Macaca fascicularis: one gene and its partners. The protein of the gene in region 2 binds, or shares a complex with, the protein of the main gene of each other region. Links are inferred from orthologs where the notes say so. Each region holds a gene or a part of one and is shown on either strand. Other genes may lie near its edges.

Region 1 (4,075 bases), on a different chromosome or scaffold from region 2:
ATCTCCCAGCTACAGGACTCCTTGCCCCATCGGGACTGCTGAGGCTGGAGGAGGGACCAGGACAGTACAGAGGGTTGGAAGTAAGGGAACTCCTCCTCCTCCATGCACTCTTCCCCATGCCCAGCAATTCGAGTTATAGACACTAAATTTCCTAGTGCTTGTCCAGGCATGGTGACTCAAGTCTGTAATCCCAGCACTTTGAGAGGCCAAGGTGGGTGGATCACCTGAGGTCAGGAGTTCGAGACCAGCCTAGCCAACATGGCAAAACTTCGTCTCTACTGAAAATACAAAAATTAGCCAGGTGTGGTGGTGCACACTGTAATCCCAGCTACTCAGGAGGCTGAGGCAAGAGAATCATTTGAACCCAGGAGGCGAAGGTTGAAGTGAGCCGAGATTGCACCACTCTAGCCTGGGCAACAGAGTGAGGCTCTATTAAAAAAAAAAAAAAAAAAATCCTGGGGCCGTGCTCCCCAAATTAAGCTACAATTAAGCTACAGAAACAGGCAATGAGCCCCAGGGAGACAAGGGAGCAATACCCAAGAGCCAAGAGTTCACACAGGACTAAGAAAGCCAGAGCCAGCTTCCCAGCTGGACACAAAACCTGAGGCTCCAGACTTTGCTCAACTTTGGAGTTACTTCCTCCCTGAAACAGCTGGCCGCAGCCCCTGGCTGGAGAGAGAGAAGAATGAGGTCTAGCAAGATGTGTGGGAGATATTATTTTAGCCTTCATCTAGCAGGGGACCCTGGGATCAAAGCATTTCTCTGCTCTTTCCTCCTTCTTTTTAAAGCCAACTCAGCAAGATACCAGCAATTTCCCACCCCTTGTCTAATAGCTCCTAGAGAAGGCTAGAGGCCACGGTGGGGGGGTTTCCTCAAAGCCAATACTTCTGCCCTGGGAAGGTCAGATCCAAATGATTGTCATGGGCAGGCTTCAAAGGGAAAACAAGTTTCCCGGGAGAGAAGCCTGAGAATGCATGGGCTGACTGAGCTATCGGTCTCAGAATATGCCTCTATGGGTGAGCTGCCACCTCAAGCCCCAGTCATGGGATCCATTCCCTGGGATCCATAACAATCTGTGGAGCAGAGCAGATTCAGAAGTGGAGACTCAGCTCACATCAGCTCCCAAACCAGGTGAAAGGCAACAGAAATGTTACACTTCTGACCCTCCTGTTCATTTTGCCCCACCAAAAAGAAATTCCCTCCCTTCCTCTTTTCCTCCAGCCTCCAGTGGGCTCCCTGTCTCACTGTGGCTTCCAGATCCTCTGTCTTGTTGCGGAGATGTTCCAAGTTTTCCCCTCGGGCCAGGATCCGCTCCACATTCTGGGTCATAATATTCTTAACTCCCTCCACCTCACTCTGCAGGTTCCGCACGCGATCATTTCCTCCACCTTCACTGGCTTCCTCCTGCACAGCAACACGGGGTTAATTAGACCAAGTGGTGGGGGAACTGGAGACTTGGCCTCAGAGGCCTGGGGAGGGTAAGGCCTCAGGCAGACTTCAGCTTTTTGTAAAATGCTTGAAATGTTTACAAAGAGAATGTTTTCATGTATTACTTGTGTAATCAAAAATAAATGCATTTGTAAGCCCCAGAAGGTAAGACGTGATGCTAAAGAGACTAGATCAAACTTCTTTCAGGATTGTTAGGACCCCTGACAAGGAAAAGCAGCGCATCACTAAATCCCTCCCCACTGCTTCCTTGCTCCCTAGAGAAGGCCATAGAATACAGCAGAGCCGGCATCTCACAATGTTCCCTTTCCAGGGCAGAGCCCACCACTATTTACAATTCCCGGAGCCACCCCTCTTTCCTGATTTCTCGGGATCCTCATTGAAAGTGTCTGTGCTGGCCAGCAAAACACCCTCACCCAGCCTGACCCATCTGCCCCTCTAAATAGCTGCTGGAGCATGGCCCTGGCCGCAATGCCATTGCTGCTGTGACCCAGAACAACAGGCAACCAAGTACCCCAGAAGGCGCCCACAGCCGTTGAGCCACACACTTCTGCTTTCCCTACCACTGGGCACCACGCACAGGCACCAAGCAACCACCTGCTTATGCAGACATTAAATAAAAATACCCGCCTGGGTGTTGGGGGAAATGGAGGACTAGTCCTCCCTGGCTGATGTCTCATCTCAGAGACTTCATGACAAGGTTTTTGAACAAGGAGAGAAAAACATTATTAAGCTCCTCCCTCCTTGACCTCCAAAAACAGGCCAGTGGCATGGGTCAGAACTAGCTTATCACAGAGAACCAACTTCTGGTTATCTTATAAACCCTTAGTTCTCTTCTTCATGTTAATGGAGAAAGGACACCCAAAGGACTCAGTGGACACACAAATCCTTTGTGTTTCTGTGTAGGGATAAAGTGAAAGGCCAGAGAGGAGAGCTCCTGCCGCTGGGCTGGAATCTGAACTGGAAACTGCCCAAGCACTGCCTGGTGGTGTCACAACACCCGCCTCGGGCTCCCTGGAGGAGGAAGGCACAACAACACTTTGCCTGGAATTCGGAGCCCCCATTGGCACTGGCACGGAAGCCCAGCTCCCCACCAGCACAGAGGTCAGGGGAGGGAGGAAGAAGGAATAGAAACACCTGCTAGGACGGTTCAGAGCTATTTGCAGCCAAGTTGTCAAAGAGGAGAGGCCACAGGCAGCACTGGCCCAGCCCTCTAACTTTGCCGCCAACTCTCCTCCCCCCCCACAGCCAACCCCCAGTCCCGAGCCCCTTCTGGCTCCTCTTTAAATCAGCCCTTTCCTAGTTTCCAGTTCGCTCACCATGTCTCAGAGCAGCCCGGGCCGATCAGCAGGTGAATTAGCCTAGTCGGCTTCCTCCCAGGGTGGCCGTCAGCTCACTTCCTGCTTGCTCCAGCTTTCAGCCTGCCCCCGCCCACCTCGCATCTCGAGTCGCTCCAGCCACACCTAACTCAGGTTTCCCCAGGTAGGCGGGCACTCTTCACTGTCCACCCAGTGGCTTCCCAAACAAGAGCTTAAGCTTAGAGTAATAGGGCTCTCAGATGTTAAAGGTCTTCTAACTTTTCAGGAATTAGAAAAGAAAGATCAAGCAGCCCTCCAAGGTTTCCTGAGGCTGGACCTCCTGATCTAGAAAGGGCAGCCATCTCTCTCTCTCTTTCTTTTTTTTTTTTTTTTTAATAGAGATGAGGTCTCACCATGTTGCCCAGGCTGGTCTCAAACTCCTGGGCTCAGACAATCCTCCCACCTCAACCTCCCAAAGTCCTAGGAGCCATGACGCCCCACCAGCCATCTCCTTTTAATGTCTTGAATATCTGACTCCAGTTTCTAGAGACAGAGATCAACCATGCCAGGCCTGGCTCACAGGGAAATAAAATGCAGTTATGAAAATTTCTTGCTGGATAACACTTGTTCTCAGGTCCCTCAGTGACAGAAAGCACTAAAACCCCTGAAGTCTGGAATACTGTGATCCTGGGCTCTGATTCAGAAAGCTCTGGGTTACTAGTTACAGGCCCCTGAGTGAACCTTTTCACCTCTGTGGAGTTTGCAGGTGCTGATGCTTAGCTCAGACAGTGCTGGTAAGAAGCAAAAAGAGGCTGGGCATGGTAGCTCACGCCTGTAATCCCAGTACTTTGGGAGGCCAAGGCAGGCAGATCACTTGAGGTCAGGAGTTCGAGACCAGCCTGGCCAACATGGCAAAACCCCGTCTCTACTAAAAATACAAAATAATTAGCCAGGCATGGTGGCAGGTGCCTGTAATCCCAGCTACTCAGGAGGCTGAGGCGGGAGAATCGCTTGAACCTGGGAGACAGAGATTGCAGTGAGCTAAGACTATGCCATTGCACTCCAGCCTGGGCAATAAGAGCAAGACTCTGTCTCAAAAAAAAAAAAAAGATAGCGTGTGCAGTGCACTGCCACTAGCACAGTGTCTGTAATGATGGCTCACCAAACCCCTCCTTCCCTTCCAGAGTTCAGCAATTCTGCATTTCCCTTCAGGGACCACCAGAGAGGTAATTGATCCCAGTCAGTGATCAGTGATCAGAAGACTGCCCTGGTGTACCAGAGCAGGGGCCCAAGGCAAAGGACTTTTCCACTAACCTGGCTCCAGGCCGGAG
Region 2 (3,645 bases):
AGTTATTCCAAATGATTTTTATGAAAAAATATTTAAATTGTATTAAAGTTTTGCTTTAATTTTAAAAAGTCATAGAAATACAATATCCAACCGTTTTTAAAGGAAGGAACATTAAAAAGTATTTCCCTGAGGCTTTACGATTACACTTGGGGTATAGAAATGGCAATAATCCTGGCAGGCTCCTCCCTCTTGCTGGAATTATTTTGGGGCTGAAGGAAGGGAGACACATTGACTATTTTTCTTCTACCTATCAACTCATCAACATATGACGGCTGATGATAGAGTTTTAAGCCTGTGATTTATCTGCTAGCATAGACTGTTTCAGGCAAGAGTGGAAAGTGTTGGGGGTGTCCTAAATAGAAACAATGATAGGGTGTCAGAAATCTAGACAAGTTGTATATTATTAGTGCTGGAACTTTTTCTTCTATGGGTCAGAAAAAGAAAGCTGACTTAAATAAGTTTTGCTATTGAGGAAAACAAAAATTGAATGAATGAATGCTAAAAGATACCTAATGTTTTAGTGTCCTAGAATTGTCAAGATTCAAAAGAAAAAGTTAAATATATTTTTTTGATAGAAAGATGAGAGTTAACACTTCCTTGGGGAAGGATGAATTTTTCTATTTTTCCCCCTCACACTTTGCAAACACATTTTATCCCCACTTCAACTCTATGAAGGTGTAAGTATCATCATTCTCACATGATAAATGAGAATACTGACACCTAGAGAGCTTGAGTAATTTGTCTAAGAGCACATAGTGGCATTTGCTGAGATATGAACACAGATTACCTGACTAAAGGTGATGCCCTTGATCTGAGCACATATAATAGTGGTTCTTAAAGTGTGAGAATTGTGGACTGGCAGCATCAGCATCACCTGGGAGCTTACTATCTCAGGCTTCATCTCAGGCCTACTGGATCAGAAACACCAGGGATGGGGCCCAGCAATTTGTGTTTTAAGAAGCCTCCAGGTGGAAGACTGAGAACCATTGTTAAACTTGTCTCTAACAGAGACATTCAAAGGAAAACTGATAAGGGACTTTCTTAGGGATTGTGTTAGAGATGTCAGGATAGTGGTGGAGAATATTGGAATGAAGGGATACCACAATGGCGAAGACAGACATATTTTGTGTATGAGAAGGGAAGGAATATCAATAATGCTAAGAGGAAACAAACATGGGAAAAAATAGCTGTGTGGTTTGGGCTTCATGTTTTCAAATGAAATAATGGTTGGAATTAGAAAAGTGTTATTTGTATCTGCCTCAATATAAATGAATAGGCCAATTATATAAGGGCAATCAAACTCTTCAGGATTAAAGTTAATTATTTCACCCTCATTGTAGGTGGCATCTATCTAGGATCAAAGAGAGATTCTCTTTTTTCTGCACATTAAAAAAAAACAAAACCAAAATAGTCTGTAAACTGCGATAGTTGATTATATGTTGGCTTATACATTTGTTGTTTATACATTTGTGATTGTTGGTTTATACATTTACTAAATCTCATACTATACCATTAAAAGCAGTACTTGTTATATGTAAATTCTATCTAAGTAAAGTTGAATTAAAAATGGGAATGTGTTCCTACAGCAAGTAATGAGTTCGTGGCACTGGAGGTTTCTGAGCAGTGGTTCAGTAACCACTTGTCAGGAATGTTTTAGTAGGGCTTCGCACATCAGAGAGGAGACTGACCTGATGACCTCAACATTCCTTCTACCCAGAGATTCCATGAGTCATAGTTGCTGTTGTGCCAGCACAGGTGTTGCCATTTTATGTAGAATGCTTTATTAATATATTTGATCTGAAACATTTTAAACTGTCATGATTTTACAATGTGTTAAGATATACAGGTATAAAGCGCAGAACAGTGAATTCATTCACTGTTCCCTACTGCATATTACAAATGGAAAGATCTCATAGTAGATCAAACCATATTGTAGTCTTGTTCCGGAAACATCACAATTTGTATTTATTGGACCAAGGGCATTTTACTACTAAGGTAAATGTGCCTGATTTAAACTGAATCCTCAAAGAAGATAAGTTAGGGAGGTGTTTTGGGGTTTGATTTTTTTTTTTCCATCAAACCCAACATGACATGTAAATGATTATTTGGATTTTTTTTTTTTTTTCTGGAAAGTAGATTCATTTGGAGAATAATATGTTTGTATGTTTGAGTGAATTTTAGTGTGAGATGGTTTTTGCTGTAAGGTTGCCACCCTTTTATTACCTAATAATTAAGACCCCCCCCTTTTTTTATGAAAGTTAATTGGTCCTTTTGACATTGCTTATCAGATGCTATTAATGAACCACTATTAAGACGGCAAGGCTGCAGTACCCGGGGCCCTGATTACAGGAATTAAAATAGTGTGTGTTGACTCCCTGCTGCTCCCCAGCAGGACCGCTCACTCATAATTCCTTTGCATCTAGTCTCAGCAGGAGAAGATTGACAGCATTGCAGACCATGTCAACAGTGCCGCTGTGAATGTTGAAGAGGGAACCAAAAACTTGGGGAAGGTAAGATTCTGCTCCTGCTGACAAATCAATGGTACTCTGGCTCCCAGGAATCTCTAGTATTAACCCAATTGATCTGCTCTCTTCAATGTTGAGGGAACCAGCAATTAAGGAAATAAGGAAGAAATGACACATAGGTAGTGCAAGAAATCAATGTTGTAATATTCTACTCTAAGATTCATTCTATCAGGAGAGGAATTTCTTCAAAGAGAGAATAAACTGTAGCCCTGCTATAAGGTATTTGGTGTTACCAGGAAATATTTGCAGAGGGTGAAAGTGTAAGTATGTGACAGCACACGTGGAGTGGGACCATCTATTTTCCATAGGATGTTGCTTTTAACCCCAGGCACACAGCACAGAATAATCTCTGTGCAACATAAAAGCTTTGGGGGAAATCTGTGGCTGCCGAAACAGTTTAAATAAGCCAGCTAGATAGTTAGTGAATTGATTGTTTTGCAAGTAAAATCAATTTGTAGCAGTCCACTCTTTGTAGCTCAGCTCTCTAAGTTCTGAGATCTGGAGCAATTGCTGTACCTGTGGAATACTTTCTTTTCCCCCCTACAAGTACAGTCTCGAAGGTTAATTATGTACCAAGAGTTAAAGAGGCATTGCCAGGAGTAATGATAGGAAAACGCACATCACCACAGGCAGATATTCTCAACTCAATTTCTAAATTGAATTTTTTTTTTTTTTTTTTTTTTATACAGGCTGCAAAATACAAGCTGGCAGCTCTGCCTGTGGCAGGTGCACTGATCGGAGGAATGGTAGGGGGTCCTATTGGCCTCCTTGCAGGCTTCAAAGTGGCAGGAATTGCAGCTGCACTTGGTGGTGGGGTGTTGGGCTTCACAGGTGGAAAACTGATACAAAGAAAGAAACAGAAAATGATGGAGAAGCTCACTTCCAGCTGTCCAGATCTTCCCAGCCAAACTGACAAGAAATGCAGTTAAAAACCAAACTTCAGGATTATTGGTGCCAACATGTGTATCCTAATGAGGATCTTTGCTGCTGTTGGACCCTCCATCACCTTTTGGAACACAAGTATATCAAGATAGTGGCTACTGATGTTCAAGTGGGATTGAAGTGTGATAAGTGGATATATTTTGTTGTTTGCTGGGGTGTTCATGGAGATGTTAGAGAT
Region 3 (3,645 bases), on a different chromosome or scaffold from region 2:
TGCTCCTAGGAGAAGCTGTTGAAATCCCTACTTTGGTCAGAAGGAGTTTGGTACAGAAGAAGCATTTGATTTTTGGCATACAGGCATTATGTGAAAATACTGATAACATTGTCATAGGGATTTTTCCTTTTTTAATACTGTCCTTTTTTGTAAACTTTTATCCAAAGATTGAAAGAAGCCATAAGTACAAGTAAAGAACAGGAAGCAAAGTACCAGGCCAGCCACCCAAACCTTAGAAAGCTGGATGATACAGGTAAGTGGATACCTGTGTGCACAGCCCGAATTCTAGCAGGGAGACCTCTGGGTTTGGCATTGGTCCTTAGGGGGCAGTAGCAATCTCTCGGGGGAAGTGGGCAGGGGCCCCAGCTGCCAGCATCACCCATGCTAGCCAAAGGGCCTTAGGGACCCGGCATGCTCTTGGGGAACTAGGGGTGTGCCTTATGGTAGGGCTCCTCCCTCCTCCCTGCCTCCATGGAGAGGAGAATAAGGAAGTGAAGGCCTGCGTTCCATTGAAAATGAGCCTGCCTAGCCTGGTGCAATAACACACGCCTGTAATCCCAGCACTTTGGGAGGCCAAGCCAGGTGAATCACCTGAGGTCAGGAGTTTGCGACCAGCCTGACTAACATGGTGAAACCCCGTCTCTGCTAAACACAAAAAAATTAGCCAAGTGTGGTAGCATATGCCTCTAATCCAAGCTACCTGGGAGGCTGAGACAGGAGAATGACTTGCACCTGGGAGACAGAGGTTGCAGTGAGCTGAGATCATGCCACTGCACTATAGCCTGGGCAACAAGAGTGAAACTCTGTCTCAAAAAAGACAATAAGCCTGCCCATCATCGGTTCCTGCCTATGTCACTCTCAGTTGTTCCAGCAGTAAAAAGGCAACTACAGAAAAACCCCTTGGTAAATAGCTGTCCACGTCCTAATCCCCAGACCCCGTGAGTCTGTTAGGTTATATGGCAAAGGCGGAATTACAGTTGCAGATGGAGTTACAATTGCTAATCAGCAAGATGGGGAGATTATCTTGGGTTGTCCAGTTGGGTCCAGTGTCATCACAAAGGTCCCTTTTAAGTGGAAAGAGAAGCAGAAGAGAGAGTGGCAGAGTCAGAGATCTGAAGATGTTGCTGGCCTTGAAGATGGAGAAAGGGACTCACCTGCCAAGGCACACAAGTGAACTCTAAAAACTGCAAAAGGTGAGGAATTAGATTCTTCCCAAGAGCTCCAGAAGGAGTGCAACCCTGAGGACACCCCGACTCAGCCCAGTGAGACCCACGTTGGACTTCTGACCTCCAGAACCGTAAGACAAGTTTGTGGTCATTTGTCACAGCATCAATGAGGGGCTAATACAGCCTCCAGCCCAAGCAGGAGGAGCAGCAGCCACATGGACAAGGTGTGCAAGACAGTGAGTGTTGGTCAAATCATTCCACTTCTATCAAGTGATAGGCCCAGAAATATCCCTTATCTGGAAAGGAATTTAGGGCTTCTGGGGCCTCCGTCATAGGCCCCCCAACAGCCAGGGTACATTGAAATTGGTGCTAGAAACCAAAGGCTTAAAACTGTGCTGCCTTCAAGAAAACGATACACCATGGAAGCTCTGGAACCCACCATGGTTGTGGTCGATGCAGCTGGGGAGATCAGATGGAGGAAGAGCGGGAAGCAGGAGAGACTGACACCATCAGCACAGTTCAGTCTGGAAAGGCAAGTGGAGGAAGTGAGTGTAAATTGAAAGGCAAGGGTGGGGAAAATCGGCCTCATCACACCCTGGAGAAGTGGCACAAGACACTGCACCCAAGACACAATTTTAAGGAATTAAGGAGTTTCCATTTGTGTCGTATATATTAAAAGACTGATGGCCGGGCGCGGTGGCTCAAGCCTGTAATCCTAGCACTTTGGGAGGCCGAGATGGGCGGATCACGAGGTCAGGAGATTGAGACCATCCTGGCTAACACGGTGAAACCCCGTCTCTACTAAGAAATACAAAAAATAGCCGGGCGAGGTGGCAGCGCCTGTAGTCCCAGCTACTCGGGAGGCTGAGGCCGGAGAATGGCGTGAACCCGGGAGGCGGAGCTTGCAGTGAGCTGAGATCCGGCCACTGCACTCCAGCCTGGGCTACAGAGCGAGACTCCGTCTCAAAAAAAAAAAAAAAAAAAAAAAGACTGAAAAAAAAAATCGGCACAGTTTGCAGTATGGTTTCAGTTGGTTGGTGCTGGAGGAAATATGCTAAGTCTAGAAAGTGATGTTTCCCTAAAGGAGATAAACTGGGATGACAGGGCTTTTCTGTGTGCATTTAGAAACTGAAGTTCATTCAAGCCAAGAAAGATAACTTTAAAAAAGAAGAAACTAGGGTTCAAGGAAGATTTCTTACGGCAAATGTGCATTATTTAACATTTCTTTTTTTTTTTTTTTTTTTTTTGGCTTATTTGTTTCAAGTGAAAATATAGCGTAGAGATAAATTTCGGAAAGAAACAAAATTACCCATAATTCCATTTATGTAACGTAACAATGTGTATTTTTAGACTTTGTCCACAGACTGTGTAGTTTTGCATTATTGCAGTTCCACTGTGTATTGTCACTTGTGTGACTCGTGTCTTTCCTGAGCTTGTGCACCAGGGTCTGAGTAGGTGACCCTTAGTTTGAGGGTCTTTCATCTCCCAAGGACTGAGGGAAAGTGGGAACCATCCCCTACCCTGTGGAAGCATCTCTCCTGGCCCATGAGCCTGCACTGTGCTCCTCCCTCATCCCTCTGGATAGCCTCAGAACCAACCTTTCATTCCTTCCACCCATTTTCCAGATGAAATTGTTTTGGGTGTGTGAAGCAGCATTTGAACAATGTCAATTAACCACTCTCCTGGTGTCTCCTTCTAAACTTAGACCCTGTCCCCAGAGGGGCTGGTTCTGCTGTGAGTACCGATGCTTACCCAAAGAACCCACACCTTCGAGCCTATCACCAGAAGATCGACAGCAACCTAGGTAAGACTGAGCGCCACACCAGCTTCTGTAAGCCACTGTTCCTTCAGGCAGCTCACGCCAAGCATAGCCCCTACGTGAGGACCCTCCAGCTTCAGCTCCCTCCCCACACATCGCATCCCACACTAAGCTGGGTCCATCTTGCCACCTCACTGTCTCTGGAATCTCTCCATTTCTCACCATTTCCTACTTCCAGCCCAACCGAGCCCTCCCCACCTCTCACTTTCATGAACAGCACCAGGGACCCAGGAGTCCCTGAGAGGCGATAAAGTGGAGCCTGGACATGACCGCTTACTCCATCCTTCCCTTCCCACCTGGCCACTCAGAGCCCTGTTTTCCTCCTTGTGAAACGGGCTGCCTCTGAGAACAGTGGGAAGGTTACCTGAGCCAGAAAGTGCCTGGGATGTAATTAGCGCTCGTGTTGCAATTGGCATTTTGGCCACACAGCCTCCAGCATGATGTTTCAAAACAGAAGGGTGTGCAGGGGGACAGGCGCAGTGGATCACGCCTGTAATCCCAGCACTGTGGGAGGCCAAGGCAGGTGGATCACCTGAGGTCAGGAGTTCAAGACCAGCCTGACCAACATGGTGAAACCCTGTCTCTACTAAAAATACAAAAATTAGCCGAGCGTGGTGGCTGGCGCCTGTAGTCCCAGCTACTCGGGAGGCTGAGGCAGGA

Evidence for each region.
Region 1: the proteins of STX17 (region 2) and VAMP8 are in contact, whole or in part, in a crystal structure (PDB 7BV6), measured with the Homo sapiens proteins. The link is inferred for Macaca fascicularis from reciprocal best matches to the Homo sapiens genes STX17 and VAMP8. Residues at the interface, in NP_060389.2 of Homo sapiens: Ser171, Trp172, Thr174, Leu175, Asp178, Leu179, Glu181, Leu182, Leu185, Val186, Phe189, Leu192, Val193, Gln196, Glu198, Lys199, Ile200, Ser202, Ile203, His206, Val207, Ser209, Ala210, Asn213, Val214, Glu216, Gly217, Thr218, Asn220, Leu221; in NP_003752.2 of Homo sapiens: Gly9, Val13, Leu16, Gln17, Val20, Glu21, Val23, Lys24, Met27, Thr28, Asn30, Val31, Ile34, Leu35, Arg37, Gly38, Leu41, Glu42, Leu44, Arg45, Thr48, Glu49, Leu51, Glu52, Ser55, Glu56, Phe58, Lys59, Ser62, Gln63.
Region 3: the proteins of STX17 (region 2) and SNAP29 are in contact, whole or in part, in a crystal structure (PDB 4WY4), measured with the Homo sapiens proteins. The link is inferred for Macaca fascicularis from reciprocal best matches to the Homo sapiens genes STX17 and SNAP29. Residues at the interface, in NP_060389.2 of Homo sapiens: Glu170, Trp172, Glu173, Leu175, Glu176, Leu179, Ile180, Ser183, Val186, Thr187, Phe189, Ser190, Val193, Asn194, Gln196, Gln197, Ile200, Ile203, Ala204, Val207, Asn208, Ala210, Ala211, Val214, Glu215, Thr218, Leu221, Gly222, Ala224, Ala225; in NP_004773.1 of Homo sapiens: Arg52, Thr56, Ser59, Thr60, Arg62, Ser63, Leu66, Glu69, Ser70, Val73, Gly74, Ser77, Glu80, Leu81, Gln84, Val87, Leu88, Thr91, Met94, Val95, Lys97, Met98, Asp101, Leu102, Ile104, Ser105, His108, Ile109, Ser111, Ile112.

What each region holds. Positions count from the first base shown.
Region 1 is NC_088387.1:36,008,907-36,012,981, forward strand, and holds the start of VAMP8 (vesicle-associated membrane protein 8), read right to left. Parts: upstream 2,865-4,075; 5' UTR 2,769-2,864; coding exon 2,766-2,768; intron 1,405-2,765; coding exon 1,246-1,404; intron 1-1,245. UniProt on the Homo sapiens protein: SNAREs, soluble N-ethylmaleimide-sensitive factor-attachment protein receptors, are essential proteins for fusion of cellular membranes.
Region 2 is NC_088389.1:58,150,256-58,153,900, reverse strand, and holds part of STX17 (syntaxin-17), read left to right. Parts: intron 1-2,423; coding exon 2,424-2,510; intron 2,511-3,214; coding exon 3,215-3,454; 3' UTR 3,455-3,645. UniProt on the Homo sapiens protein: SNAREs, soluble N-ethylmaleimide-sensitive factor-attachment protein receptors, are essential proteins for fusion of cellular membranes.
Region 3 is NC_088384.1:31,848,138-31,851,782, forward strand, and holds part of SNAP29 (synaptosomal-associated protein 29), read left to right. Parts: intron 1-167; coding exon 168-253; intron 254-2,871; coding exon 2,872-2,970; intron 2,971-3,645. UniProt on the Homo sapiens protein: SNAREs, soluble N-ethylmaleimide-sensitive factor-attachment protein receptors, are essential proteins for fusion of cellular membranes.